Canis lupus familiaris: one gene and its partners. The protein of the gene in region 4 purifies or fractionates together with the protein of the main gene of each other region. This does not show direct contact. Links are inferred from orthologs where the notes say so. Each region holds a gene or a part of one and is shown on either strand. Other genes may lie near its edges.

What was found.
Region 1: the proteins of IKBKG (region 4) and HSP90AB1 purify together in Homo sapiens (co-immunoprecipitation; 4 studies listed by BioGRID and IntAct, with this or other methods). This does not show direct contact. The link is inferred for Canis lupus familiaris from reciprocal best matches to the Homo sapiens genes IKBKG and HSP90AB1.
Region 2: the proteins of IKBKG (region 4) and MAP3K14 purify together in Homo sapiens (affinity purification with mass spectrometry; 6 studies listed by BioGRID and IntAct, counting the BioPlex papers as one, with this or other methods). This does not show direct contact. The link is inferred for Canis lupus familiaris from reciprocal best matches to the Homo sapiens genes IKBKG and MAP3K14.
Region 3: the proteins of IKBKG (region 4) and MAVS purify together in Homo sapiens (affinity purification with western blotting; 4 studies listed by BioGRID and IntAct, with this or other methods). This does not show direct contact. The link is inferred for Canis lupus familiaris from reciprocal best matches to the Homo sapiens genes IKBKG and MAVS.
Region 5: the proteins of IKBKG (region 4) and USP10 purify together in Homo sapiens (affinity purification with western blotting; 3 studies listed by BioGRID and IntAct, with this or other methods). This does not show direct contact. The link is inferred for Canis lupus familiaris from reciprocal best matches to the Homo sapiens genes IKBKG and USP10.
Region 6: the proteins of IKBKG (region 4) and MALT1 purify together in Homo sapiens (affinity purification with western blotting; 4 studies listed by BioGRID and IntAct, with this or other methods). This does not show direct contact. The link is inferred for Canis lupus familiaris from reciprocal best matches to the Homo sapiens genes IKBKG and MALT1.
Region 7: the proteins of IKBKG (region 4) and TRAF3IP2 purify together in Homo sapiens (affinity purification with western blotting; 3 studies listed by BioGRID, with this or other methods). This does not show direct contact. The link is inferred for Canis lupus familiaris from reciprocal best matches to the Homo sapiens genes IKBKG and TRAF3IP2.

The regions. Positions count from the first base shown.
Region 1 is NC_049233.1:12,844,883-12,849,316, forward strand, and holds the start of HSP90AB1 (heat shock protein HSP 90-beta), read left to right. Parts: upstream 1-1,565; 5' UTR 1,566-1,583; exon of another isoform or gene 1,584-1,594; intron 1,595-2,623; exon of another isoform or gene 2,624-2,787; intron 2,788-3,569; exon of another isoform or gene 3,570-3,895; intron 3,896-4,214; coding exon 4,215-4,361; intron 4,362-4,434. UniProt on the Homo sapiens protein: Molecular chaperone that promotes the maturation, structural maintenance and proper regulation of specific target proteins involved for instance in cell cycle control and signal transduction. Undergoes a functional cycle linked to its ATPase activity.
Region 2 is NC_049230.1:18,179,244-18,182,940, reverse strand, and holds part of MAP3K14 (mitogen-activated protein kinase kinase kinase 14), read right to left. Parts: intron 3,481-3,697; coding exon 3,376-3,480; intron 1,194-3,375; coding exon 1,030-1,193; intron 555-1,029; coding exon 404-554; intron 1-403.
Region 3 is NC_049245.1:17,973,509-17,977,679, reverse strand, and holds the start of MAVS (mitochondrial antiviral-signaling protein), read left to right. Parts: upstream 1-1,283; 5' UTR 1,284-1,302; intron 1,303-4,171.
Region 4 is NC_049260.1:123,433,208-123,436,904, forward strand, and holds part of IKBKG (NF-kappa-B essential modulator), read left to right. Parts: intron 1-1,589; coding exon 1,590-1,742; intron 1,743-2,266; coding exon 2,267-2,363; intron 2,364-3,486; coding exon 3,487-3,630; intron 3,631-3,697. UniProt on the Homo sapiens protein: Regulatory subunit of the IKK core complex which phosphorylates inhibitors of NF-kappa-B thus leading to the dissociation of the inhibitor/NF-kappa-B complex and ultimately the degradation of the inhibitor.
Region 5 is NC_049226.1:68,258,099-68,261,795, reverse strand, and holds part of USP10 (ubiquitin carboxyl-terminal hydrolase 10), read left to right. Parts: intron 1-1,027; coding exon 1,028-2,068; intron 2,069-3,697. UniProt on the Homo sapiens protein: Hydrolase that can remove conjugated ubiquitin from target proteins such as p53/TP53, RPS2/us5, RPS3/us3, RPS10/eS10, BECN1, SNX3 and CFTR.
Region 6 is NC_049222.1:17,460,602-17,464,298, forward strand, and holds part of MALT1 (mucosa-associated lymphoid tissue lymphoma translocation protein 1), read right to left. Parts: intron 3,652-3,697; coding exon 3,502-3,651; intron 1,199-3,501; coding exon 1,041-1,198; intron 1-1,040. UniProt on the Homo sapiens protein: Protease that enhances BCL10-induced activation: acts via formation of CBM complexes that channel adaptive and innate immune signaling downstream of CARD domain-containing proteins (CARD9, CARD11 and CARD14) to activate NF-kappa-B and MAP kinase p38 pathways which stimulate expression of genes encoding pro-inflammatory cytokines and chemokines.
Region 7 is NC_049233.1:68,474,458-68,478,603, reverse strand, and holds the start of TRAF3IP2 (E3 ubiquitin ligase TRAF3IP2), read left to right. Parts: upstream 1-1,290; 5' UTR 1,291-1,424; intron 1,425-1,767; exon of another isoform or gene 1,768-1,869; 5' UTR 1,870-2,062; intron 2,063-4,146. UniProt on the Homo sapiens protein: E3 ubiquitin ligase that catalyzes 'Lys-63'-linked polyubiquitination of target protein, enhancing protein-protein interaction and cell signaling. Transfers ubiquitin from E2 ubiquitin-conjugating enzyme UBE2V1-UBE2N to substrate protein.

The DNA of each region.
Region 1 (4,434 bases), on a different chromosome or scaffold from region 4:
GGTCAAGATGTCTTAGCACAGCATTCATGGCCCTCTGTGAACTCTCCCTGCAGGGCCACTTTCAATGCCTCTGCCTCTCTTGGGGCTCCCAGGCTATGGTCCTTCTGTCAGGGCTGTGCCATTCCATGCTTCTCCCTCTTCTGGGACATATACCTGTGCCAGGGACTGGCCAGCCTTGGCCCTAAGCCTGTCCCCTGCCTCAGGCTGAGCTGGGAGTCTGATATTTCTCCTGTTGCTATGGTTCACACTTGGCCTGCTGCAGCCCTCTAGGGGCTGAAACCTCCATCTTGTTTCTGCAATTCTGCATCCCAGGAACTCACTGTGGGGGGCTTAAGTGAGTGTCAGCGAGTGGGAGAGCCTTCCAGAAAAGACAGAATTTCTGTGCTAGTGCGTGATTTGAGATCTTCCCATTAGAAGACCCCGGGAGTCTCTGGTCTTAATACTGATCCACAGGAGTGATTTCTGCTGCTTTGGACTTGGGTCCTGGGAAGGGAGACAGCATTGCTACTCCATTCCTGGAGCAAGGAGCGAGGGTTGGTGCAACAGAGGCTCTGAGCTGACTGATCTCACTGAAGCCTTGCTTTCCCAGTGAGAACGGGAGACTCACTTTTACCTCTTCACAGTATTGTGAAATAGTTTGAATGCTCTTTGTGAACTAGGGAGGTTTTTAATTTTCTAGGCCCCTTCTGCCCAGAAAGAGAGAGGGTATGTTGAGGGATGACACACTTCGTTTGAGATCTTGATCAGGAACAGAGAATCCTGGAGGATTCCTGGCAACAGCACCCACAGCTCTTCCCAAACACATTAACTTCCCCAAGTCACAGATTTCTCACACACCATTAAGGAGAATAGGGGGCAGCCCGGGTGGCTCAGTGGTTTTAGCGCCGCCTTTGGCCCAGGGCATGATCCTGGGGACCCTGGATCGAGTCCCACGTCTGGCTCCCTGCATGGAGCTGCTTCTCCCTCTGCCTGTCTCTGCCTCTCTGTGTCTTCATGAGTAAATAAAAATCTTTAAAACAGGTGTGTGTGTGGGGTTGAATAAAAGAGTAAGGAGAAATATAGGAGTGGTGGCTGTGGCTGGGTGATGAGGTCTGGTGCTTGGGGAAAAGATAAGGAATTGGAAGGTCTGTTCTTCGGAATTTAACATATGAATAAGGAAATACAAAGGAAGGAAGAAGGCTGAGGAAGGACGGCGGGCGGTGGTGCCGGAGGCAGCCCCTCCCCAGGATTCCAGGGAACGACCCTGTGGGCCAGGGAGAAGTGGATGGACCCCTACAAGGTCACAGAGCAGCAAGAGGCCATTCTCTTCCGGAGGGGCCGTGGGTCCGACGGCATTCCTAGGGGAGGCCTTAGGTAGACAAGGACGGCTTCCCCTCTGGAAGGCGCGCGAAAGGGGCTGAGCCACGGCGTCCCACAGCTCTCCCGGCCGACTAACGGCTCGGGAGCGCCCGCGCCGCAGCTGGAGGGGAACGACTTCTGGCAGCCTGCAAGGGGGCCCGCTCCTCCTCCCGTCTGCCGGCCGCAGGAGCGAAGAGGGCCCAAACTGAAACCAGATGGGGAAACAGCTCCGTGTGCTCACGCAGGGAAGACGCAGGTCTCCGGGTCCCACTCACTTGGGCGGATGCACAAGTAGGGGAGGGTCCTCCTCCCCGCCCCCCGCGATGGCGAATGCGTCCCCGGGTCTCTGCGCCCCGAAGGCGGCGCCAGCACCACCGCCCCAACAGCCCCAGGCCGTGGGATCGATGGCGGGGGTGGGGGGGTCAATCTTTCCCTTTATGCTCCATCCCACTCCCGAGGGAGCGCTGGGCTCGCCGAACCGGCAGGTGGGAGATGAGGGTCCCCCCCGCGGGCTCCCAGGTTAATAGGGGAACAGCCCGCCTCCTCCCCGGGGACCGCGGCGGCTGCGGACACCCGGCCCAGGCCGCAGAGGGCGGGGCGGCGCCTGCACGGAGGGGGCGGGGCGGGGGCGGGGCCGCCAAGGCGGGTCTGGAAACTGCTGGAAGTAATCGCAGTACCACCATTGCCGCTCCTTCCGCCGGACGCGGGCAAAGAGTCCCCCTGCCGGTGCCGGCCAGGGCCCTTCCCCCAGCCGGAGCCACACCCCGCCGCACAGCCGCGGCTTTCGCCCACTGCCCCTGGGAGGGCCGGGGCGCAAGGCCTCCCTGAGGTTAGACCCCGGATTCCGCACCGTCCCTAAGGAAAACTGCTTCCCCTTCTCGGGTTGTGGGGGTCTGGAGGGCAGATTGTAGCAAGAGTCGAACCCGGGAGCCGAGGTCGGAGCGGTTGGCCGCTTCTATCCCCGCCCTCCACCTTTATAGGTGTTCCTCCAGGCCAGGACTCGAGTGGGGAGGCGCCTGCCTCATGGTTTATAGGAAGGCCAGTGGCACCCGCACCCCTAGATCCCCCACTTATTTCATATGAAATAAGACGTTCCCAGTCTTTAGTTCTCGGAGGGAGCTCATGCCTTGCAAAAGCAGAGATGTACTTGCGTACTCTGAAGGCGGAGACCGAGACCGGCGGCCCCCCCCCCCCCGCCCGCCCCATTTTGGGCCATGACGTCAAGGTGGGCGGGCAGCGGCAGGTGCGGGGCTGAGCTGCACCCTCCTTTAAGGCGGAGGGATCCGGGGGCCGGCAGCTGGTCTGTGCTCCGCCGTATATAGAGCGGCCGGGGGCGCACAGCCGCTCTCTTGAGTCACCCCCGCGCAGCCTTGGTTCGGCGTCGTAGCCGGACGCAGCCCCTGCCCGCCGTGGTCTGTAGTGCTTGCAGCTCTTCCCCTTTAAGGTAAAGTCGTAGCTATTTCCAGGTTTTCCTGCCTGGAGTGCTCTCTTGAGTTGCTCTCGTTCCTCGTTTCCTTTCTAAAGCCTGGGTTTCGTGGAGTGGGAGCGGCCTGTGGGATGGGACGACTCCTAACTGCTTTCGGGGGTGGCCGGGAGGGGGACCGCGAGCTAGACTTGCTTTCTCACCCGTGCCTGGTGGCGGGCGTCCCCGCGGGCGGCGCCTGGCGCTGGGGGAGGTGGGCCGCGGCGCGGGCTGGGGGTGGTGGGCAGCTGCACGTGGTGTCCGCGCCGGCCGGGACGCTGCCATGTTTGCCCCTCCACTTCCGGACGCGGCTACGGGGCGCCGGAGGGTCCCCGCGCGTTGTGGGTGTGCGCGCTGGACGTGACTCAGCACGGCCCGGGGCTGGCCTGCCCGTGCCGCCTGTGCCATCTGTCCCCTGGGACGCGTTTTGCAAGGGTTTTCGTTTTTTTTTTTTTCTGTGACCTTCGGCGAGCAACGTTTGACGGCGGTCTCTGGCCCATAGTGCTTCCTCTCCTTCCAGATCTTTCCTGCAGTGTCGGTGTGGGGGAGGGGAGTGGAGGGGGCAAGCTCGGGAAGATTCATGGGCCCTTTCCTCCCCCGCCTCTCCGAAGAGCTGAGATTGTTCTGGAAGCTTCTGGAACCCGGCGCCCCGCCCTGGTGCCCGGATGCTGGGGCGAAGGGAGGCTGCGCGGTGGCGCCCCCTCCTCGCGTGGCCCTGGCCGACGCACGTCCGGCAGTGACGAGGGTCTGCCCAGCGGACGACGGCCACCATCTTGGTTATGTTTGGTTTGGTCCCACGCTGTAGTCACGTGTGCTGGGGTCGCGATGGAGCTTCTGCCTTAGCGGTTCTTTGTCTCAGCCGCTTGGGCGGGTATCCACCGGCCCCGGGGGTAGTCGGCCCCTGCGCTCCAGGGTGCTTGATGTGGGAGACCCCCAGCGGGAGAGCCAATTGCGAATTCCTTTTAACCCGAAATTGGTCGCCTCGGGCTACCGTTTGTCCTACCAAAAGAAATAGAGCCGTATTCAGTGCTTTTCTCTTGAAAATTATCTGGAGTCCTTTTCGTGTTCCTGGATCCGATCTGCATTTTCAACGAGGTACTCGGTGATGCGGAGTCTGTTGGGTCCCATGGACCACTTAGAGTACTTAGGCTCCAAGGTGTTTTTCCAAAACGCTTTTGACGTCGTGTGTTGTGTTAGAGAAGCTTTTAAAAATTCTTCCTGAATTGGATTTCCACTAAGGGTATAGGCTGAAATCATTGAGGGAAAAGTTTTCTAGTTTTTCAGGAATATGTCTACTATCCAGCCCAAAGCAATTTCAACTAAAAGCTGAGTCTTCGTTGTGAGTAGGGTGAAACGGAGTGTTACCTATGGGGCCACGGTGTTCTTTTGTAATTCTTGACTGTTCTTATTTTAGATGCCTGAGGAAGTGCACCATGGAGAGGAGGAGGTGGAGACTTTTGCCTTCCAGGCAGAAATTGCCCAGCTCATGTCCCTCATCATCAATACCTTCTATTCTAACAAGGAAATTTTTCTTCGAGAGTTGATCAGTAATGCTTCTGATGTGAGTGCTTTGGGCACTTTTGTTTATGGTTTTTGTTTTTAGCATTCAGGAAAACGGAAAAGGGTTTGGGATT
Region 2 (3,697 bases), on a different chromosome or scaffold from region 4:
CAAGGTCACAGGTCTGCAGATGTCTGCCCGAGTGCTACCAGGTGCCCCCCAGCAGAGCCTAAGGGCTACTATCTCCTCACCACCACTTGGTGCTACGAACTTTCTGCCTTTTCTCACTTAATGGCTGGAAAGTGGTACCTGGCTTTATTTCACATTCACTAATGACTAATGGGCTTGAGCCCTCTTTGTATGTTGTAGTCCCTGTCCCCCATCTATTGAGCAGCGAGGCGCAGTACAAAGCACTTCTACTCACACTACCATCTTCTAACAAGCCCAAGGCGGGTGTCCTCTCTATGCTCTAGATGGGGACACCAAGGCTCTGAGAGGTTGAGAGGTCCTTGCCCTTGACCACAGCACTACCCTGTGGGGTCCCGTGCCCCTACAGCCAGTGGGGGGCTCTTACCATGCTGCAGCGCCAGGCTGACTTTTCCCCCCAGCTCCACTGCAGATGCACGGCGGCCAGGCTCTTTCCTCAGCCCCTCCTGGATGGCCTGGGCGGTGAGAGGGGCGCAGGAGGGTGGGATCTCCCTCACAGGTGGAGGCTCGCTGGCGATCTGTGGGTCAGAAGGCAACATGTGTGGCCTGTCCCCCCTCACTTCCCAGGATGCAGCTTTCTGTTCTTGCTCTTCCCCACTCTCCCCTACCCTGGGGTTGGTCAAAAAGACTTGAGAGGGCTGGGACTTTTCCAAGGAAAAGGAGAAAAGGGGCCAGGTGGGCCAGGCCAGTGCCAGATGGCAAGGTGCCCATGACCAGCCCATAGGGAGGCAGCAGAGATGGCACAGTGTATGAGTGGAGGAGAGCCCCGACCTGCCATGAACTCAAGGGGATCCCTCACTTAGGATCTCTCCTTGGGCCTGCAGATTTGGGTGGCAAGCATTTTAGTTAGGATCCCGCATTTATGATGAGGCCTCTTCCTGTTGCCATCTGCCACCCAAGAGCAGACCAAATGGGGGCCACCTTAAGCGTGCAGCCTGGGCCCTGTGGCCCTGCTGGCTCTCCCTCTTCACCATCCCAGGTGCCGTCACTGACCTTGAGGCAGAGTGGCCCTCTAAAGTACTGGGTCCAAGGGTGGCAGCCGTTGAGCATGTGAAGCATCATGCAACAGCTGCTCCAGACATCCACCTTAGCATCACAGGGCTTGCCCATCACCACCTCTGGGGCCATGTGGGTCTCCGTGCCAGGGATGTAGTCTCCTGAGAAGGTGGGGTGAGACCGGAAAGCCAACTATGAACTTTGATGGGTAAGAGCCTTGGCAATGACCCCCTCTCTCCCTGGCCATTGAGTCAATTCAGTGAAAATACCTGGAAAAACCTAGAATTTATCTCTGTTAAAGTATCTCAGACAGAAAGGAAGCTTCCATATCAAACCTGCTGGGGATGAGCTAAGTCAGGGGCTCCACTGGGAACTGGTACAAAGAACACATCACCCAAAATAGGGGCTCGGCCCTTTGGACCAAATCTTTAGAATGCCTTTTTTTTTTTTTAAGATTTTATTTATTTATTCATGAGACACACACACACACACACACAGAGAGAGAGAGAGAGAGAGAGAGAGAGAGAGAGAGAGGCAGAGACACAGGCAGAGAGAGAGGCAGGCTCCATGCACAGAGCCTAATGCAGGACTCCAGGATCACACCTTGGGCCAAAGGCAGGTGCTCAACCCCTGAGCCACCCAGGAGTCCCTTTAGAATGCTTTTTAAAATTGGGGAGGGGGAGATCCCTGGGTGGCGCAGCGGTTTAGCGCCTGCCTTTGGCCCAGGGCGCGATCCTGGAAACCCGGGATCGAATCCCATGTCGGGCTCCCGGTGCATGGAGCCTGCTTCTCCCTCTGCCTATGTCTCTGCCTCTCTTTCTCTCTCTCACTGTGTGCCTATCATAAATTAAAAATAAAATAAAATAAAATTGGGGAGGGGCCTGGACATTGAAAATCAGGTTGCAGGAGCCTAATTAATGGTTTGATGTTCCTGAAATTTCAGTGCATGGGAAAAAAAACCCAAAAGACTTCTAGTCTTAAGACTAGAAGGATCAATACCAGATGTGAAATTTTCCCCCCGCTTCTGGTGATTTGAATTTTTTATTTTTGCTTAGTTCTACTTTCTACAAAAGATTTTAGGGGCAGCCCAGGTGGCTCAGTGGTTTAGCACCACCTTCGGCCCAGGGTATGATCCTGGGGGCCCAGGATCGAGTCCCACATCAGGCTCCCTGCATAGAGTCTGCTTCTCCCTCTGCCTGTGTCTGTGCTCTCTCTCAATCTGTGTCTCTCATGAATAAATAAATAAATAAATATTAAAAAAAAAAAAAAAAGATTTTAGAAAAGGACTATTTTTGTAATAAGAAAAAAACTCACTATTTTAAAGTGAAGGGCAGATGTCCATTAGAATTTACGTCTTTAGAATGATCAACACAGTCCTTTTATAACAGAATCACTTCTAAAAGATTGTTTTTCTTTCGGTCAAGAAGAAATAATTTTATGCTTAATGCTCTAAATGAAAAAAGCAAAGTATAGGGGTGCCTGGGTGGCTCAGTCAGTTAAGCATCTTGTCTTCAGCTTAGGTCCTGGGATCAAGCCCAGCACTGGGCTCCCTGCTCAGCCAGGAGCCTGCTTCTCCCTCTCCCTCTTCTGGTCCCCCTGCTTGTGCTCTCTCACTCTCTCTCTGTCAAATAAATAAATAAAATCTTAAAAAAAAAGTGCAGGGCACAAAATTGGGTTATATCAGCCTTAACTTTGTACAGGTAAAAAAAAAAAAAAAAAAAAAAAGACAGACAACCTGGAAGGAATTATGTAAAATGTTCATGATCATCTCTCCAGGTAAGAGGAGCAGAGTGGGTTCTATTCACCTCTTCTAGACCACGTGACTCTGTAGTTGCCCAATATTTTACAATGGATGTGGATTATTTTATTTTATTTTTATTTTTGATTATTTTAATAATCTAAGAACAAACATTTCTCCAGCTACAGAGCCTCGACCCCCCATTAGCCCTCCTGTTGTGCTTCCAGAAACCATGCTCAGAGGCCCAAGAGGGCCACAGCCACAGGCTGGGAGCATAGCCATCCAGAAAAGGCTATAGAAGATAGCTGGAGCTCTGAAGGTGCCTGGGCAGGACACCTGGGGCAGGGCAGTCAGCCTTTCTGTTCCCTTCTCTGTGGAACAGGAATATCTGAAAATATCAGCATCTGATGCTCATTCCTGTGTTGAAACCTAACAAAAGCTTTCTGAGAACCTAGAGTTGTGGAGGGCTGAAACAGAATGGTAGACAAGGAACACTTGCATCTCTATTACTCTCTGACTGCCATTCCAAGCGCACAGGAGACCTGGGGTGACTGAGCAAAGGCCCCTGCTAGTCATCCTGGAAGGGCAGTGGAGGCAGGGCTTACCCGTGACCACGGACTTCCCCAGCCCGTTGGGTTGAAGGCACACGGCATGGCCGAAGTCACAGAGGGCCGCGCGGCTCCCATCGCTGGACAGGAGCACGTTGTCAGCTGCAGGCCACCCCAGAGAAGAGGAGGAACAGGTGAGTCAGTGTAGGCCCCAGCCCACTCTGGACCTCCAGGGAGGCAGTTTCTGGCCAACCCTACATGGCAGTTGCTGCTTCTAATTAGTTTCATTAGTCATGAGGAAGGGAAGGGGGTGATCAGCTCAGGCTAGAGGCAGGCAGCAGGCAGATCTCTGAGGTACAGGGACAGAGTTTACTCCTGG
Region 3 (4,171 bases), on a different chromosome or scaffold from region 4:
GTGCCCATTTATCTGGGGGAGACTCATCCATGCTGTGTATATGAATTGTTTGCTCTTTTTCACTGCTGCATACTATTCCACAATGTGACCACACCACAGTTTATCTCTTTATTCTGCTGATGGACCTTTGGGTCGTTCCCAGAGTTTGCCTATTGTGAACAAAGCCACTATGAATATTAGCTATTGTGCATGTGACACACACCTAGGAGTGGTGGCTGGGTGATAGGCTTGGCATAGGTTTCACTTAAGAACTGCCATTTTCTGAATCTTTTATTTATTTATTTTTTAAGATTCTATTCATTTATTTGACAGAGAGAGAGCACAAGCAGGGGGAGCAGCAGAGTGAGAGAGAGAAGCAAGCTCTCTGATGAGGAGGGAGCCAGATGCGGGTTTGACCCTAGGACCCTGAGATCATGACCCCAGCCAAAGGCAGACCCTCAACTGACTGAGCCACCCAGACACCCCTGAATCTTTTAATATTTCTTAAAACCAGGAAAAATAAACCTCTACCTGGTGATTGTCTGAGTATTTAGTGGCTTCTAAGGTATAAGACTTTAAGCCTGTACCTGGAACACAGTGGGAGGCTCAGTAATTGCTGGCCTCAGCCCCAAACAGAGGAAGGGCCAGGCAGCTGGCAGGCGCTGTGGGGAGGTACCTGGTCCAGACCCTTGGGCAGAGAAGCCTTTCCCACACAGCACTCAAGACCCACAGCCAGCAGTCTGGGCAGCCCGAACTTGGCGCCCCTGCCCTGCTCTCACCTACCCAGCCTCCTCGCACTGTGATCCTGCTTCCTCAGGCCCAGCATTGGTGTCGCTTCCTGTGCACTTTGCGTATCACTCGATATTTATTGGGCACTAACTTTATGCCAGGCCCTGGGTGCCCCGGTACAAATGCCATAAAGACCCTCCCCCCTCAAATTACTCAGGAGGAGTGATTGCTTGGCGTAGGAAGCATGGGGACCCAGCCGAGCACTGACTCCGAGGTCGGTCAGCCACTTGAGTTCTAGCCAGATTCTGTATTTCCCCTGGAAGTTTGTTCTGGACAAACAAAATAATCTGATCCTCTGCGCCCCAGCAGGAGCCTAGGTCTGCCCGGAGCGCCTGTCCCGCGGGTCCAGGCCCTCGAACCACTGCCAAGCGCCCACCCCCGCGGCCCAGTGGCTCAGGCTGGCCGCCACGCCCCGCCCCCGCCGCCTGGCCAATGGCCTCGCGGTCCCGCCCCTCTCTGCCGCGCCCCCTCCTGCAGGGGAGGGTTCCGGGGTGTCTGCGGAGGTCCGCGGGTAGCCGGGTAGTGGCTACCGAGGTAAGTTAGCCGTCCCGGGCGCGGTCGGTCCCCTGGGCTCTGGGCGCGCCGATGGCTTTCGGAGCGGTGGTCAGCGGAGGCAAGAGCGGAGCGGGACGCGGAGCCCACCGGGGCGCACGGGGGTCCGGGGACGGGACTGGCTGCGCGGGGCTGGGTTAGAGCCGGTCCCGAGGCGCCGCGCTTCGCGGCAGCGCCGGGCGGGGCGGGGGGGCGTGGGTCGTGTGCTCGGGCGGGAGGGGAGGTTGGGGGAGCAGACAGGCGCTGGCTGCTGAGTGCCTCCAGCGCCCCGCAGGCCGGGGGTGACCCTGGGGCGAGGCCTAACCTCCCGGAGCTGCGGCCGCGCCTAGAGGCCGCCGTCCTCCCCCGGGCCTTGACAGTTCTCGGTGGTGACATCTGACCAGAACAGCCTCCCTCCCTCCCTCCGCGGGCCTGGTTCCTTCCAGGAATTGGAGCCAAATCAGTGAGGCCTCGCCTCTCTCCTCCGGGTGGTTATTTCTTTCCGGGACGCACTCAGCGCGTCCGGGGCATTCAAGGTAGGAACTTCTCGCAGCGTCAGTCCGCCCTTCTCTGAGACCGGAAGGAGCTGCTAGGAAAACATTGGGGGAAAAAAAAACACAACCAAAAAACGACGTTCTGTGCACGCTGTGGAGCCTTAAAAACTTCTGGAAGGACAGTCAGCGATCTGAGAACTGCGACTGCCGAACAGGGCAGGTTAGCATGCAGTCAGCCTTGTCTGAATGATTTACATACTATTCCTACAAGAGAAGGGACTACGTCTTTCAGCCTCCCTGGCACACCCCCATCTGAGGACTCCCCTCACCCAGGCAGTGGCCTTGGTCCCTCTGGGGCTGTGAGTCTCACTTGTTGCAGCAGCCCCTATGTTCTGTAAGGTGTATGGTGAACTGCAATGAGACAGCAAGTCCTGGGTTCAAATCCTGTTAGGGCCACTGGTCTGTTTGTACAACCCAGCATCATTTCTCCTCTCCTAAAGGAAAGAAAATTAGAATGTGCCTGCCTATAGTAGATCATGAATAAATATGAACAAATATGGGCTTCCTTCCTTTTTGGTTGGAGCATGTTCTACTTCCATACCCCCCAAACTCTTGTCCTTAGGGCTGCGGCTCAGATGCAGAAGAATGTATCACCTGACTCTATCCTTGTCCCTCCCCACATGCCATGGAAAGAAAGGAGAAAAGCGTCATTTAGCCACCTTAGAGTTCTTTGCTCATCTCCTGAACGCTCAGAGGACCCCTGCCCCATCTTCTTGAACCTCTTGACTTCTGTCATTGACACTTGCCACACCAATAATGTAGCACCTGGTGGCTGACAGAGCAAGGCATGCCACATGAGGCTATGAGGCCAGCAGACAGGACTACTGCCCCATTTCCCATATGGGTGACAGACTGGTGGCCCCAGCTCTGCTCTGCAACATTATCTTCTAGAGTCCCACCCAAGCCACACACCCACATTTTTGCTCCAGTCTGGCTCCTCTTCTGACCCCTTTCTTCCCAGAAAACCCACTTGGACATGTCATAGTGTCTCAGACTTGAGACACTATGATCACCTGATCAAAATGGAGCTTTGGAATCCTCTCTGCACCACAGCTTCTCCACCAGGTTCTCTGGCCTGCCTAAATGGCACCATCCATCTACCTAGTGCCTGAGGAGTTATCCTTGATTCTTCTCTCTCCCTCACTTCCCACATCCAGGACCCACTAGGAATCCAGCCACCTCTCACCATCTCCATGGGCAGCATTCTGGCCATACCCATCCTGTGGCCCCCTGCTTCAGCCTCCCAATTGTCTCCCTGCTTCCATCCTGGCCTCTGTACAATCCAGGTCCTCACAACTACCAGAGAGGTCTTTAACATAAGTCAGATCCTCTCCCTTCTCTGCTCAGAACCCCCAGTGGCTTCCCATTTCACTCCAAGAAACCCCCCAAAGCAAAAATAACAACCCCCAGAGTCCTTTCCTGCAACACTGCACATGAGCCACCACTTTTCAGAACCTCCTTGACCTTGATCCCTTCCCCTCCCCTTAGCTTTCTAAACCTGGACCACCCAGACCTGCTTTCTGTTCTTCAAACATGCCAAGGTCATTTCCACCTTAGGACTTTTAAATTGCTGTGCCCTCCGCCCAAAATGCTGATCTTGCAGCTCAGAATGGCTCAGCTCAAATGTCACCAATTCAGAAAGACTTACCTGACCACCTCTGTTCATGCAGCACGTCCTTCTCCAGGGATTCTGTCTCAAAACCCTGGTTTATTTTCTTCATAACTTGGTTACTATTTGGAATTCTTATTTATGTACGTGTTTACTGATTTGTTATCTGTCCCACCCCAATAGAATATAAATTGGATGATGGCAGAGATCTTGTCCCTCTTATTCCCTGCAGCTCTCCCTGAGGGGGAGGCAGGTAAGGAACTCACAGACAACCCCATCTATAATTGCAAATTGTGGTAAGTCCTACCTAAGCAAGTAGTAGCAATTGCTAGTAATTGAGGCACTTGTAAATGTCAGGCTTATGCAGTTGAGCTACTGTATTGTCAAAACAAGCCCTCTGAGTCATTTTAGGGGTAAAGAGAAGACTGTAGAAAGCCGGTAATTTGCCCTAGATCATACGGTGAGTGGAACTAGCCTCCTATCCTAAGAACATGTATGTGGCAAGCTTTAATGGTGGGCTTGCGGTCATGTTCTGGAAAGGACCTGACCTCTGATCTTTGCTCTTCTGCTAACTAGCAAGCCCCTTAATTTCTTGGTACCTCATTTTCTTGACCTTTAAAGTAGGATGATCCTATTATTATTTTGGGGCTTTTTTCTCTTTTTTCTAGTGTACCCCAAAGAAGCAGCAGTCCTTGGTGGAGTCCTCTTG
Region 4 (3,697 bases):
GTTGCTCTTTTCTGCGCGGCGGGGTTCCCGTAAGCGGCTCCCCGGGTCTGAGGCACCAGTGCTTCCTCGGCTCTCACGGCCCCGGGTGCTGCCCTCCAGAGAGAAAGGTGGACCCCCGTGGTGGCGGCAGGGCTGCCTTCCCCCCAGGGGAGGGGGCAGGATGGTGTTGGCCGTCGTCCACGCTGGGGGGACCTTGTGGACGTGCTTCCATCTAGAAATCGGAGTGTGAGCAAAGGTGTCACAAGGTTGTGCTTGCTCGCCTTGGGCTTGTCGCGTTGCTGTTTGCCCCTGTGTCCCCCCACCCCGCCCCGGCCTCCAGGTGTCTACAATCCCATGTGTTGTTTTTAGGACAATTTGGTGTCCTTTCTGCCTGTTTTCTGTGTACGTGAAAGAAACCGCTGGGGTGGGGCGTCCGGGTGGCTCAGTGGTCGAGTGTCTGCCCTTTGGCCCAGGGCGTGATCCCGGGGTCCTGGGATCGAGTCCCACATTGGGCTCCCCACAGGGAGCCTGCTTCTCCCTTTGCCTGTGTCTCTGCCTTTTCTATGTGTTGCTCACGAGTAAATAAGTAAAATCTTAAAAAAAAAAAAACCGCTGGGGGCAATTTTGGTCCATTAGCGACCATGCACAGACGTCAGCAAGTGTGGGCTCCCAGGCAGTGTCCTTCTGTGTCCTATCCCCTGTGGCTGGCCATATAGATGGTAAGCTGGACAGCTCGGCCTCACAGCCCTGCTGGTGTCTCAGGTCCTTCCGTGTGGCCCTTTGAAGAGCTTCACGCCTCTGACACACGGAGGTCCCCCGAGCCTGGGGTCTGTCCTGCGGGAATGGCACTCACCCTTGCGCCGCGCCCCGGGCAGGCAGCGGGCCCACCTGGTGATGACCACGTCAGCTCACAGATGGAAACGTGCTCAGTCTGTTTGGACAGGTGTGGAGAAACAGCGAGACCAGCGATGATCCCCAGCAGGCCCCACCCCCTCCCGCCCTAGCAGCCCCTGTCGCCTCTGCGGTGGGGTGGGGACCGTGCAGGGCCTGGGGCCAGCAGGATGACATGGTTAGAGATCTGGGGAGCTGTGAGAAGATAGGAGACTGGAGATGGGAGATTGGGGGCTAGGGGGTGCTAGGGCTTAGAGCATGGAGGGCCTGGTGAGAAGAGACGAGCTGTGGCACCATTGCTGTCACCCAGCCAGGCTGGGGAGGCTCCTCTTGCAGGCGGATGCATTTGGGACTGCAGCTGAGCCATGGAGGTGGGTCAGCCGCCTTCTTGCCGCTTCTAGAACAGTGACTGGGAGGGAAAGAGTCGCCCCCAAGCTGGCTCTCTGTGGTTGTCCCATCTCTGGTAACCGTGTGTCCCCCCTGCCCCCCTGACATCCGAGAGCCACGTCCTTTCTCACGGCAGATCGGCTGTGCGTTGGCAGGATGTTCTGAGCAACTCCTGCCCCCGTGACGGCGCTCTGCCTGCAGGCCGCAGAGCTTCCAGGGCCGTCGGGCTTCGAGCTCCTCCTCAGTGCCGCGGGGATCCTGTGAACGCCCCGACACCCTGCCCCCCACTCCTGCCGAGGCCCTCCCGTGACCTCCCCCTTCCCCCGTGCCAGGGCCCGGGCTGCCAGCGAGCAGGCCCGGCAGCTGGAGAGCGAGCGGGAGGCGCTGCAGCAGCAGCACAGCGTGCAGGTGGACCAGCTGCGCATGCAGAGCCAGAGCGTGGAGGCGGCCCTGCGCATGGAGCGCCAGGCTGCCTCGGAGGAGAAGTGAGTGGCTTCCTGCCCCCGGGGGGACAGAGACCAGAGGGCCATCGGGGGCTTTCTGCCTGTCAGCGAGCCCGTCTGCGGGCCGTCCCTTACCGTCATCACACCTACACGATCCATCTCTGATGCGATGGTATGTGCTCTTCAGTCCACGTCCGGACGCCCCCTTTGGGCCCACGTGGCAACAGCGTCTGGTCCCAGTCCCTGCATTGCATCCGTTGGTGTGCCTTGGAGTCTCCATTAATCTAGAACACTTCTCCCACATCTCTGTGTTTTTCACAGAGTTCACTTTTTTGAAGAGCCCAGGACTGTTCCACTTTATTATAGACGGTTCTTATTTTTAAAAACGTTAGCCTTAAACAAAGGGATACTAAGCATTTAGTAAAGCCTGTCTTAGGGCTGCTGGCCTTGAAGGCACAAACGCACCCTGCAAGCAAGCCCCTTTCTGGTCTGTGGACATGAGGAGGAGGACCGTGGAGCGGGGTCAGGACAAGGTGGTTTCTCCAGCAAAGGCTCCTCTTCCTTAGGCGGAAGCTGGCCCAGCTACAGGTGGCCTATCACCAGCTCTTCCAGGAGTATGACAACCACATCAAGAGCAGCATGGTGAGCAGCGAGCGAAACCGAGTGAGTATGGTGGGGCTGTCGCGGGGACTGTAGGACTGACTTTGCTTCGCTTCCTCTCCCTGCCGCCTAGAAACAGCAGAGCTCGGGACCTGCTGCCACTGATTTAGGGCCATGGGAGCTCAAGTTCTTATTTGAACACTTGCCAGAATTTGATTTTGGGGGGGATGTTTGACTTGTCGTAGACCTTTGTCAAGGTCGCAGTGTGACAGCTCAGCGCGGGTGGTGGGAGACTGGGATCCTAGGGCTGTGCTGTGTGTGGCCTACGGTCCCCTGGGCCGGGCCTCTGGCGGCGCTCTGTGTGGCCTGGGAACATGCTTGTCTCCGTGGCCAGTCCTTCCCACCAGCTTGGCTCCTGGCTCAGAGATCCCAGAGCCAAGGTGAGGCGTGGGACACTTCATCACACTACTGGGAGTGGTGCTGGGAGCCCTTTTCTGGTTGGTTTTCATCAGACCTGTACTGGGTGCAATGTCAAGTGATCGCGTTTTAAGAAGGATGCTGTCAAACCCGAATGTACCCAGGGGACATCTCTAAGGCTTGTAAGGGTAACACCTGACACCGACCACACCAGGAAGAGTTAGTTACACAACTGTGGCCTTTCGATCTGCAGGAGGAAGGCTTGCTGGCATGTGTGGCTGTGTCTGTGTGTGCATGCATCTGCGTGTGTGCATGGGGGGCTGAGGGCATCTGGGAGGGAGCAGCAGACCTTTGTAGGATGGCAGGGTGGCAGGACCCACAGGTCTCAGCTTCGTGGCGGCATGTGGTGGACTGTTAGCACGGGAGAGCAGCTGAGCGTGGAGGGGATGGCCTCAGGAGGGAGGATGGCCCTGTCCGCTGAAAGGTTAGAGGTGGGCTGTCCGGCTGGGGATTCTGGGAAGGGAGTGTTGGCCTGGGTGGGAAGTTGTGCCACATGATGTCAAAGGTTCCCTGTAGCCTCTGCCTTTCCTGTGCCGTGCACGCCCTGTCGTCTTGTGCTCTCCACCACTCCAGGGTTGGCCAGCCAGGGCCCATCTTTCATTGATTCCTTTTGGTTCTTCTCACCTGGAGCAGCAGCCGGCCTGGTGGCAGCCTGGTGCCTGCCACGGGCCAGTTTGGGCTCCTGCAGTTCCCCCTTGCCCGTTCCTAGGGAATGCAGCTGGAGGATCTCAAGCAGCAGCTCCAGCAGGCCGAGGAGGCCCTGGTGGCCAAACAGGAAGTGATCGACAAGCTGAAGGAAGAGGCCGAGCAGCACAAGATCGTGATGGAGACCGTCCCGGTGCTAAAGGCTCAGGTGAGGGCACTTCTCTGTGGCCCGTGTGCGGGTCAGCCGACTGGGCCTGCTGGGCCCTGGGCCCTGG
Region 5 (3,697 bases), on a different chromosome or scaffold from region 4:
AATTTTTTTTTTCTCTTAAGTATTTGCCATTAAAAGAAGTCAGCCTCTTGTGCTAGACTCAGGGAGATCTTCAGTTATGCATTACAGATAATGAAAAGGCATGTGTCCTTTGCTTCAGAATTTTAACTGTTTCATCAGATATCAGATGACACTGATGCTTGACGTCTCTTGAAAGATGCAGCTGATTCTATAACTTAATCAAATTTTAGAAATGTGAACCAGGAAAAAAATGTACATTTTGTAACGGGTGGAATGTGTAGATTGTCTGTACTCCCAATAGCCAGTTGGCAGTAGCCAGTACCGAAGTATTCCAAAGAGAATTTTCAGAGGTTGCAGTCCTAATTGTCTTGGTATTTTTGAAAGTATTTTCACTACCCATGGAATTGACCCACTGTGAACTCATTAATGTACATTGACATGCACTTACGTCAGGCCCTCTTCAGACTTTAGGGAGGGTTGTCAGTGGAGAAGATCAGGAGATGGAGGGTTCCAGAGAGTGCCTCTGAAGAACACCTTTATAGAGAGGGGAATTCTTGGTGTAGTGCATACTTTCTGCATGACTCAATCACTAGTTAGAGAAGCCATAAATAGAGTAATAACTTTAAATGCCTAAGGTATTAGTAATGATTTTCTTTTTAAATTGTCCAAAATACATATACCCTAGTTTCAGTCAGAAAATAAGCCAGTAAAATCAGATTTCATTGAGGGGTGTTTTTAGGCAGAATATGACGTGCTTTTTATTATTTCATTTACGTTTTGACCTCTTGAAAGTCTCCCTTAGCCACTCTAAGAGCGAAAAATGAATACAGTCTTCTGGTTTTCTAGCTCTAAAATTAAATATGGTTTTATAGTTACTGTTTATTTTTGGCAAATTATTTGCCACAGAAATGAACTGTCCTAGCTGTGTTAATTAGAAGACTTTAAGGATTTAGTTTCAGAAAGAAAATAATTATTGAGACTTTTATAGTTTGTGTAGCTGTGTTTGTAACTAATGGCATATTGACTGATCATTTTTTTTTCTAAACAGGACAAGAATATCAGAGAATTGAATTTGGTGTTAATGAAGTAATTGAACCCAATGACACTTTGCCGAGAACTCCCAACTACAGTATTTCAAGCACATTGAATCCTCAGGCCCCTGAATTTATTCTCAGTTGCACAACTTCCAAAAAACCCCCTGATGACCTAGATAAAGAAGCTACCTACAGCTCAGTTGACTGCCAGTACCCAGGCTCTGCCCTTGCCCTGGATGGCAGTTCTAGCGCGGAGGTTGAAGTTTTAGAAAGTGATGGTGTTTCGGGTGGTCTTGGACAAAGGGAGCGTAAAAAGAAGAAAAAACGTCCCCCAGGATATTACAGTTACTTGAAAGATGGTGGTGAGGGTAGTATTCCCACGGAAGCCCTGGTCAATGGCCACGCCAATTCGGCAGTCCCAAACATCGTAGGCTCAGAGGATGCAGAGTTAGTGGGTGAGGTGCCCCCATCGGGGACGCCCAGGACTTGTAGCAGCCCTCAGGATTCCACGGACTTCGTCAGTGACGCTGTGCCTGGTGGGCCTTTCCCTGGAGCCCTCGATGGTGATACCAGGACTGCAGGGCAGCCTGAGGGCTGCCACGGGGCTGACTTGGAACAGTCCTGCCTCTCTACGGAGGCTGGCAGGGACAGCCTGTTGAGGACAGCTGTGGCTCAGCCTTACATGGGAACTCATACTACTGAAAACCTTGGAGTTGCTAACGGACAAATACTTGAATCCTCCGGTGAGGGCTCAGCTGCCAACGGAGTCGAGTTGCACACTGTGGAGAGCACGGACTCGGACCCAGCTAAGGCCGAGAGCACTTCCCCTGCTGCCGACACCCCGGCCTCTGTGGCGGGCACTGCTCCCACCAGCCAGCCTAAGTCATGGGCCAGCCTTTTTCATGATTCTAAGCCCTCTTCCTCTTCACCTGTGGCTTCTGTGGAAACTAAGTATTCCCCTCCTGCCACATCTCCCCTGGTCTCTGAAAAGCAGATTGAAGTCAAAGAAGGGCTTGTTCCAGTTTCAGAGGATCCTGTAGCCATAAAGATTGCAGGTATAGTTCAAAAGATACAGGTCGGAAGTGAAGATGGGCGCAGATCTGAGGCTGTCTGGGCTGATAATTTGTGCTAGATTGTTACCCAAAGCAGCAGTCGGTGTGTTCATAGGAATTTCTCAAGAATGTCTGTATCTTAAATGCTATCTGTCTAGAAGGAAAAGGATGTCTAAGTATAGTGTGGGTCGGGGTGGGGTGGGGTTGGGTGCAGTTCCTACCTTTATGTTAGGTGAACAGTCCATGTCTATTACCATCAGTCCTTCTCTGTTGACAGAGTGCTTTTGATCCAGTAATTTTGCTCCAGCAGGTGACTGAATGTACTTGTCCTGTGTTAACACCTTCGTGTACATTTGCTATGTAATCCTTGATTTAGACTCCTTTCGCACTGTTTCTTTTCTGTATTTCTTAGATGTAAGAAAGCATTCGGGCTTTTTTCTTATTATTGTCTATTTTGGATTGAGTTAATGGATTTTATTACTCAGTTGTAGAACACCAAGGTCAGCCCTTGACAGGAGAAGAAAAACTGCAACAACCTGGGCCAATATTTTAACCTCAATATGAGAAATGCATTAGTGGGATGCTTTTAAAAATTTGCCTTCTAAAGTCAAAGTTATGAAGGTGTTCTACTTTTGTTCCTAAAAATTATTTCACAAAAGAAAAAAACCTCCGATTTCTGGGAAATTTTCTCAGTATTCATTTAAAATAAGAAAAAATTCATTTTAAATGTTTTGAAATATTTTTAGTCCTGTAACTTTAAATGTGGTTTGACGCCTAGTCTGCTATCTTGTATGTTTGTTAAAATCTAACCTGCTGAAATCTGTTAACGTGCAGGTAAACTGCTCTGGAGGGCTCTCAGTTAATTGTATTGGGGGAGAGCACCACCAGGCATAGTCTCAAGTATTTTTGAATTGAGATGGTGCTCCCAGCAGGTTGATTTCCTTAATCCTAGTTTGATTGGTCCAGTTAAGAAGATGTTTTAATTATCCGAGCAAAAGTGTAGTTTTTAAAAAATACTTCATTCTTTTGAGCCTTTTTATGGAACCTTAGGAATATGGAACGTAACTGCTGACAGTTTTGAGTGTTGCTTCCTGTAAAACCACGCACCAGAGGCCCTGGCTAAATGACTTTTGGGATCACACACAGCTTAGGTGAAGTAGTACTGCTTGGGATTTTTCCTCTTTGTCATATTCTCCTACATAGAGGTTTAATTTATAAAAGTGATGAATAGTATTCAGTTTGTTATAAATAAGATTCACTACAAACTTCCCTTGAATGAGCATGCTTGTAAGCATAGGCCCACTTGTTTTAAACTGCATTTAACTGTGTGAGATTCTAGTTCCATTAAAAGATCTGTTGATTGACATTTGTTATCGTAGAATTAGCCTTAGGATCTAACTGGTTCTACTAGAAGAGTAATTTTTATGTTTATTATTACATTTATTAACTTTGGGGAAAGAGGCAGAAGGGAGCAGTTTAGTCATCAAGTTTATTCTTTTTTGAATTTTTAGAATAATGTCAGTATCCACAGTTGATCCCTTTTTTTTTTTTTTTTTGAAGCCCAGGTTCGTTTAATTTGGACGTCCATATTTCTGGATTCTTTGCCCTATCATTAAGTCTGTGCTTCATAAA
Region 6 (3,697 bases), on a different chromosome or scaffold from region 4:
GAATTTTGGCCTGAGAGGTGAGCCCTTTGCTAGGACTAAAGAAACTGTAAGAACGACATTCTAGAGTCTAACAGGAATTCTAAATTGTGCACAGATACATTTAAAAAGTTAGCTCTGCAAGGCTAGTTACTTTCAAACTACCCCTAGGAGTACTTCTTAGTCCACTTGAGCTTCCTTTAGGGTTCCAGCCCTGTTAGTGTGTGACTCCTGGATTCTCTTCCTGCTCACTCAACACTTTTGGGAAGGTGTAGGGGGATTTACATGATTCATATATTTAAAAAGAATAAATGGACGTGTACATACAGGCAGCCCTTCCCTTTTTCTTCTCTAAGAGCCAAGCCCTGGCTGAGAGCGGGAGATCTGTTCTGGAACTTCAGAGAGAAGGCCTCAGGCTCTCCCTGCCCAACGCCCAGGAGGCCCAAGCGAGTCCAGCACTGTCAGGGTTGGTAGACAGACCTGTCTAATCTGGGGTTCAGGGCTGGACCGTTTGCTCTCACACAAAGCAGTGTCCTCTGTGAAGCCTTTATCAGTAGCAAGGGTGATGTTCTGGATTTGTCTTGCTCCTTGCTTACTTCTCAATTTACTACAGTCATGTAGGAAAGAGGAGCACTATTTATTGGCTTCTTTAGGCCAACGGAAATAAATGAAATAAATGATGATATCTTAATTTTCAGAAAAAACAACTAAATTTCTATGCTTCCAATATACTATAATTTTACTTCTTCACACTTGATATCCTCCTCAGGGCTAAGGAAATTAAAGGCTTCTTTCCTAGGTGAACTTTAGCCATTCCTAAATTTGATAAATTTAGCATATTTGGGGGGTTAGTTTTTAAATGTAATATATATTAAATATGAAAAACAGACTAATGCTAAATACTAATAATACTAAAATACAAATAAGTATTTAGATAAATGGAATATATATGTACTCATATTTCCTTTAAATTTACCATCAACTTTAAGTTTCCATATGTTTAGTCTTTAGTAAGTGACGCTATACCGTCCTATTTTGAGTAAAAGAAGAAAGGGGGTTCTTACAAGAGGGAAATCGGTGACATAGGCGTCGCACATCACCACGTCGGGTGGCTTGTGGACTATGCTCGTGTAGATTATCATGACATTGGAGAACTCGGCGGCAAACCCTAACTGAATCTGAACGCCACACTGAAATTTAAGACACATACTTTCTGGGAGTTCTGAAAAAGAACAAAAAGAACAACTTATTTGAGAAGTGCTTGGTAAGTGTTCTGATAAGCAACAGGCAATTGTTCTTTATGGGACAAAATATAGTGAGAGCTTCTGCTTTCGCTTAAAAATGTTCTATAACACATTGTTGAAAAACACACAGACACACATGCATGCACTTAAAGAAAGAGAAAAAAAAAAAAAGCCCCATGTTCTGCTGGTCAAGCAAATAAGAATCTTTCATTGACTATTTCCTTATAGTTCTCATCCCTCTGCATATGTAACTTTCACAGTGGGAATCGAAAGTATCCATACAGTTGTAGATAAATTTTCACTGTTCCCTCAATCTTCATGAAAACAGTTAAGAAAGCATAATGTCACTGAATATTTGTTACTTTGAACAATTCCACTACTCTTGAGTATCTGTGGTATTTCTGGGTTTAATTGTTTTTCTATCATAGTCATTATTTTGAATATATATGTACTTAATGCTTTAGGATTATTAGATACAGCTACTCGAAGGTCCCTCACACATGTGACATCTCCTTTTATATAGAATATAAATAGATCTCACCATAACATTTCCAAAATGAAGTAACATTAATTTTCAAAGTGTGTACCTAGTTGATGGTATTAAAAAGGAAAAACTGTACTATCATAGTTTTAATTTTATTTTCTCTAATTACTACTTAAGTTTACCATTTTCTGTATTTGTTTCTTATTTATTTATTTATTTTTTAAAAATTTTATTTATTTATGATAGTCAGAGAGAGAGAGAGAGAGAGGCAGAGACACAGGCAGAGGGAGAAGCAGGCTCCATGCACCGGGAGCCCAACGTGGGATTCGATCCTGGGTCTCCAAGATCGTGCCCTGGGCCAAAGGCAGGCGCTAAACCGCTGTGCCACCCTGTATTTGTTTCTTAATTATTAATATATTCTCAATTGTGTAGGCTGAATTTGCATCCTTTGATGATTAACTGAGGGAGTCTTAATGTTTTTCCTTTTACCACTTTGCGTGCGCTCTTTAACATAAAAAATACCAAATCTGTTACAAAAAAAAAAAAAGCTCTTTCTAGACAAACTCTCCACGTCTCTAGAGCCTGTTCGCCTTTGGTAAGGTGACATTTACCCATATCTAAAAGATAAGAATTAAGTATTATTTTAAGACCACAATTTTTTCATTATGTTTTAAATATTTAGGCCAAGAACTATCCTGCAAATCCAGTGATGTTTTCAGTATCACTTACTCACTCAACAACTATTTTCCTGAACACCTAGTATGTGCCAGGCATAGTTCAAAGTAAAGAACAGATAAAAATATTGGACGAGCCCATGTCTAAAGTTTCTTTCTTTTTTTTTAATGCGAAGTCCTAATTGGCTTTATTAGGCAGGCAATTCATGAATTCAGCAGCATCTCACACAGCAAGTAAAGAAATGCTCTCTTTGTTTCATTTCATAAAGGTTGTATTTACTGTTGATTTTTACCACCACGATTTTGTTACTGTTGTTGTTTAGGGCTTTTTTTAAAGGAAAAGAATCAATTTCTTTCTTTTTTTTTTTTTCATTTCAATTACTTATCCAACTATCTGAAAAACCAAGACACTATATTTGTGGCATTTTATTTTAATGTGCTTTAACATATTTACCAAAAATATATCTTAGAGAACAGACTATTAGAAAAGGAAAGATATTATATAGAAGTTCAACGAATACAACTTTCAATTATCTACAGTAAGGGATACATAATACAGATATTTGGGACTCACAACAAATCTAAAATCTTCATTTCGGTCAATAATTTAAACTTACTTTTTCACTAAGTCACATAGAATTACCCAGGGTAATGAAGTTACGGGTATGATTTCCACCTCACCTTCTATTGTCTTGCTCACTGACTCATGGATTCAAGAGTCAAAGACAGAGAATACTCAGTAATATTTATGAGCACGTAGTATTTGCTGACGAGCGTGCTTCTCTATTTACGTGTGTGATCTCATTCAAGCCCAGCAACCTTACCAGGTATTATTTTTTGTCCCCATTTATAGGTAACGTGCTTATCCAGTGGTAGAGACAGGATCAGAACCCAAACCTGTCTGATTTTTCAAATAGCACACTTCCAACAGCTCACAAAAGAATAGGATCTAAGGGACTGTATATTACATAAGTTGTTTAGTCTTGGGTTTGCCCACCAGGCTAAAATATTTTCACTACAAAATCAAGAGGAAAACTATTTATTCAGGAGAGAAAAAATCTCCTTCATCATTTAATGCAGCATAGTATAGAAAAATCTCACAAAAAGCCAGACGTCACCATACCATGTGCCTTGGCCCATTGTAGATTCCGAACCAGAGATTCTGCGGAATAGGCTGTTCCCTGAATCGGGTCAGTAAGTGCTCTCTTTTCAGATAAGCTACTCCGGATCTCTAGAGCCTGTTTGCCTTTGGTAAGGTGACATTTCCCCATATCTGAAAGATAAGAAATAAGTATTAAGACCACAATCTTTCTGTGTTT
Region 7 (4,146 bases), on a different chromosome or scaffold from region 4:
CCCAGATGCCCCCAGATGGGACTTTCTCCTGTTCAAACACTCTCTCTGAACAGTTTACAGCGTTAGGCTGCTTTTCAGTGAGGGCCGCAGCAGAGGCCCGAGGGAGGAAGCATTAACCCATTCTTCCAAGTGCAGGCCTTTCTGTTCAGGATAAACGAGGAAGGCCCGGAAGGCCCAGCTAACAGCAATTAAGAGCACCCAGGTCAGCTCTTGGTTATCTTCCCACAGGGCCCCTCAGGCCTCTCATCTGGGGAAACGGTAGGAGAAATAGGGAAAAAAAAAATTCTCCCTATCCTTCCTGACGGGTCGTATTCCAAAGGTTAACACTTGACAAAAGCATCTTCCGGGCTTTTCCCAGTGCATTGAAGGGATCTAAGAGAAACGAAAATGATTTTCACCCCGCCTCTTTCCTTGGCTCTCCTTGTTTCCTCCCCTTGACATTCTTTTCTTCTCTGTTCTCCAAGTATCCTGGTGCCAGCTGCTGCAACAGAGTATACTATTTTTCCCTAAGCTAAAAAAGATTATCATCATAATAATTTTGAGGCATGAAGTTCAAGGCCAAAGTAATAAATATTATTTTTTAAGAAATATGCTTGCAGAAAAAAAGAATCAAATAGCCCATAGGTGTAAATAGTATAAAAGTCCTCCATTCTCACGCATTCCCCTCAATCTCAGTCCCTAGAGGTGACAACCGCTTAACAGTTTGCATGCATATTTCCAGACATTTATGATTTATTCATTCGACAGATACAGAATGATTGCCTACTATCTTCTGGGCACTGTGTCAGGTCCTCAGCAGCAGAAAACAAACACCAATCTACGTATGTAAGTACATGGACATGTGTATGTGGCATATATATTGGCAAAAATGAGATCACGTTTCTCAATAAATAATATCCCAGAGCCACTTTTCCGAGTTAGAATGTAGAAACACATGCATACGTACTTATGATTTTTCACAGCTGCATAATATGCCGTTGTAAGAATATATATGTATATATGTAACATTAATATTTATATATATATATACACACACACAGCCTGTTATGTTATTTTAAAAACCAGCCGTGTTTCCTCTGCTCACAGAATGAAGAGCAGCCCATTGCACGGGACCTACCCGAGCAGAAGCCGGCAGTCTGGAAGGGGGTGCTGTAGGGTCTGTCCCCTGCAGGAGGGTGGAGAGCCGGCCAGCTGCCCGGGCTGACCCTTGGGCCTCTCCCACGGGCAGGCAGGGCCAGCCCCAGAAGCACGCAGTCCCTGCCCAGGCACCTGGCTGGAGGGCCCGGCCACATCCTTGTGACTCCGGAGCCCTGGCGGCCACAGCTCCCATCACACTTGGCTGCCCCGGTCATCCCGTCTCCAGCATCCCCTTTGACCTTCACTTCTGCAAGTTGAACAAGGAGCAGGAAAGAGAAGAAATAAAGGTGAGTGAGGTCGTGAACAACACAGCCAGAGGAGGACAGTGCGCATATACGTGCAGGTGTGTTTTCTTAAAAGGTGTCACCTTTTCAGGCCTGTCGACGGCAGGGCGCGTGTGCCCGCGTGTGTGCAGGCTGGGAGAGGGGGGGCGAGCCCAGCCAGAGGTCGGTGGTGAGCAGCCCTGGCCTCGCAGGGCACCGGGTTACCTGCCCCCAGCCTCCACCTCCGTAACCTCCAAGTTCACCCCACCCCATCCTCCCAGGCCCCCTCCTGGCTGGGGCGAGGGCCCCGACGTGCGGGCCGTGTAGACATTCCTCCACGGTTACTTAGCTGGGTGGTGGGAGCACAAATGCACCCTAATTGGCCAGTCCGGGGCCTTTTCTAGGGAATGAAGGAGGTTTCTGTTTCAAGAAATAAGTGACTTCTCGGCTGTTGATTCACTGCCCGCAGGGAGATTTTTCAGCGGAGGCTTCCGAGCCTCTCTAGAAATTTGCATACAACTTCCCCTTCCTGCCGCGGAGCCTGCTCGGCCGCGTACCTGGCCGGGAGGGAGCGGGAGGCGGGAGCCGCCCAGGTGGAGCCCGGGAAGGAGGGAGCCGACCACCGCGGCCCTCGTCGTCCGTCTGTCCCCGGGGGCGCCAAGGTAAGCCGTCAGAGCTGTCGCCGGCCTCGCCTTGCTTCCTGGCCGCTGACCCTCTCCCCACACCCTGTGTCCTCCTTTGCTCCCCCCACCTGCCCCTCCCCACCTTGAACTTGCCCGCCCTGGGCCGACGGTCCAGGCCGGAGGAGACCGTGCTGGTGGCTGAGGTTTCGGGCCGGCAGGGGCCGAGAGGGACTCTCGGAGGAGGGGTCGGTGCCCCCCGCTGTGCTGGCTGGGAGCCACCTGGGAGCTACCTGGGAGCCACCCGGGAGCCGGCCGGGGCAGGCCTCAGTGTCCCCGCGAGCCCCGGGGAGGATCCAGCCCCACGTCCCCAGGAGGGAGCCCGGCCCGGCAAAACTTAAGTCGTTGGCCTCCAGCCCCGGGACACGTCAGTGGCAAAGATGGAAGGAAAACGCACAGTTTTCTGGAACCTCGTTTCCTGCAGGGAAGAGTTGGACCCCGCTTCCCGGGCGGGGAGGCTCAGGCCAGCTCCCTGCCGGCTGCCCGCCCCCACCCCCCCCAAGCAGCCCCGACGTTTACTGGCAAGGAAAACCCGGGGGAGAAATGCTTGTTCTTGATCTCAGCAGCTAATCAAGCTTTGGGTGACTTCCAAGTCCAAAACGATCTCTTAGAATAGGGGGATTTTTAAAAAAGATTTTATTTATTTATTCATCAGAGACACAGAGACGCAGAGACACAGGCAGAGGGAGAAGCAGGCTCCCTGTGGGGACCCCAAGGGGGGGGACTTGATCCGGAGCCCCCCAAGGCAGACGCTCAACCACTGAGCCACCCAGGCATCCCTAGAATAGGGGAAATCTTTTTAAGGGATGAGGGGAAAAATACTAATTTTCCTATTAAACAAATATCTCAAAAAGAGGACAGGGAACTTGGTTTCAAGTCCTCACTCCACTCCTTGCTGGCTCTGTGACTTAGTTCACTTTGGTTTCCCTAGGCCTGGATTTCGTCAACAATAAAATGTGTGTGAGGGTGGACCAACATGATTTTGTCTGAATTCCCTCTAACAAAAATAAAGCAGGAGTCGTGGGAGTCACAGAGGGGGAGCCGTAATGGGTGGTCTTGGAAGACTTGTTTTGTTTACTGACTATTCAAATATATTAATTTTACCGCCTGCTACTACTACATGGTTAGTTCCTTGAGGAACAGGATTGTTGCTTCTTAATCCTCTTCCACCCTCCTCCACCCAGTATAGGATCAAACGCTTCATAGGTGCCCAAGCTCTTTTCTCGCAGCAACGTAAGCTGCTTTGATTTCTATTTCACTCACCTGCTCCCAAGGCACAAGGTAAAAAGCACGGTCAGGGCCAAAGACCGGGGGTGGCTGGGCGGCCACGTGGCTCTGCGTGACGGCTGCCCGGAATCCAGGCGTGTTTATTGGCTCTTGCTACAATAAAACAGGGGGTTTCTTGGATTAGTTCATGTCCCAATTGAGTTCCCCAGGAAAAACCATCCTGTGCTCTTGCCCACAGAGTCCAGGCAGGCGGGAGGACTGGCAGGCCGGCCTGTCTCCAGGAGGCTGCAATCCTCACTTAGCTGGAGCTGAAAACCACTTGTGGGCGTGGGCGAGACCAATCACTGGGGGAGGCTGGGGGAACTTTAATGGGAGGTGAAAGGAAGCCGCAAAGCCCACCCTGATACCATGTAAGGGTGATGACCGTGATCCGACACGTCAGATGACAGACACAGGCGCCTCAACCTTTTCCAAACCACTACTTTATTATTATTTCTTTGGGGCAGTTCTGTATTTGTCTATACAGACAGGCTCTGGCGACTGGGACGGGCTGACTCAGGGCATTAAGCATTGCTTAACCGGTTTGTTGGAAAGGCCCTGGTACAGTCACTGTCATGTTCTCACTGGCTTTCTCTCCCTCCCTCGCCCCCGCCCCCGGAATGAGAGGACAGAAATGTCAAGATGCTTCAACTGCGACGAGTTGCCGATTGTATTTTCAAATAAGTATTTTCAAATAACGCAGCCCCATTATCGGAACCGAGGCTCGCTGCTGCGGGGCCAGCCTCGCTTTCACCCAGAAAGACCACCCACCGTCATTCCTAATCTGGTGTTGCAGCTCC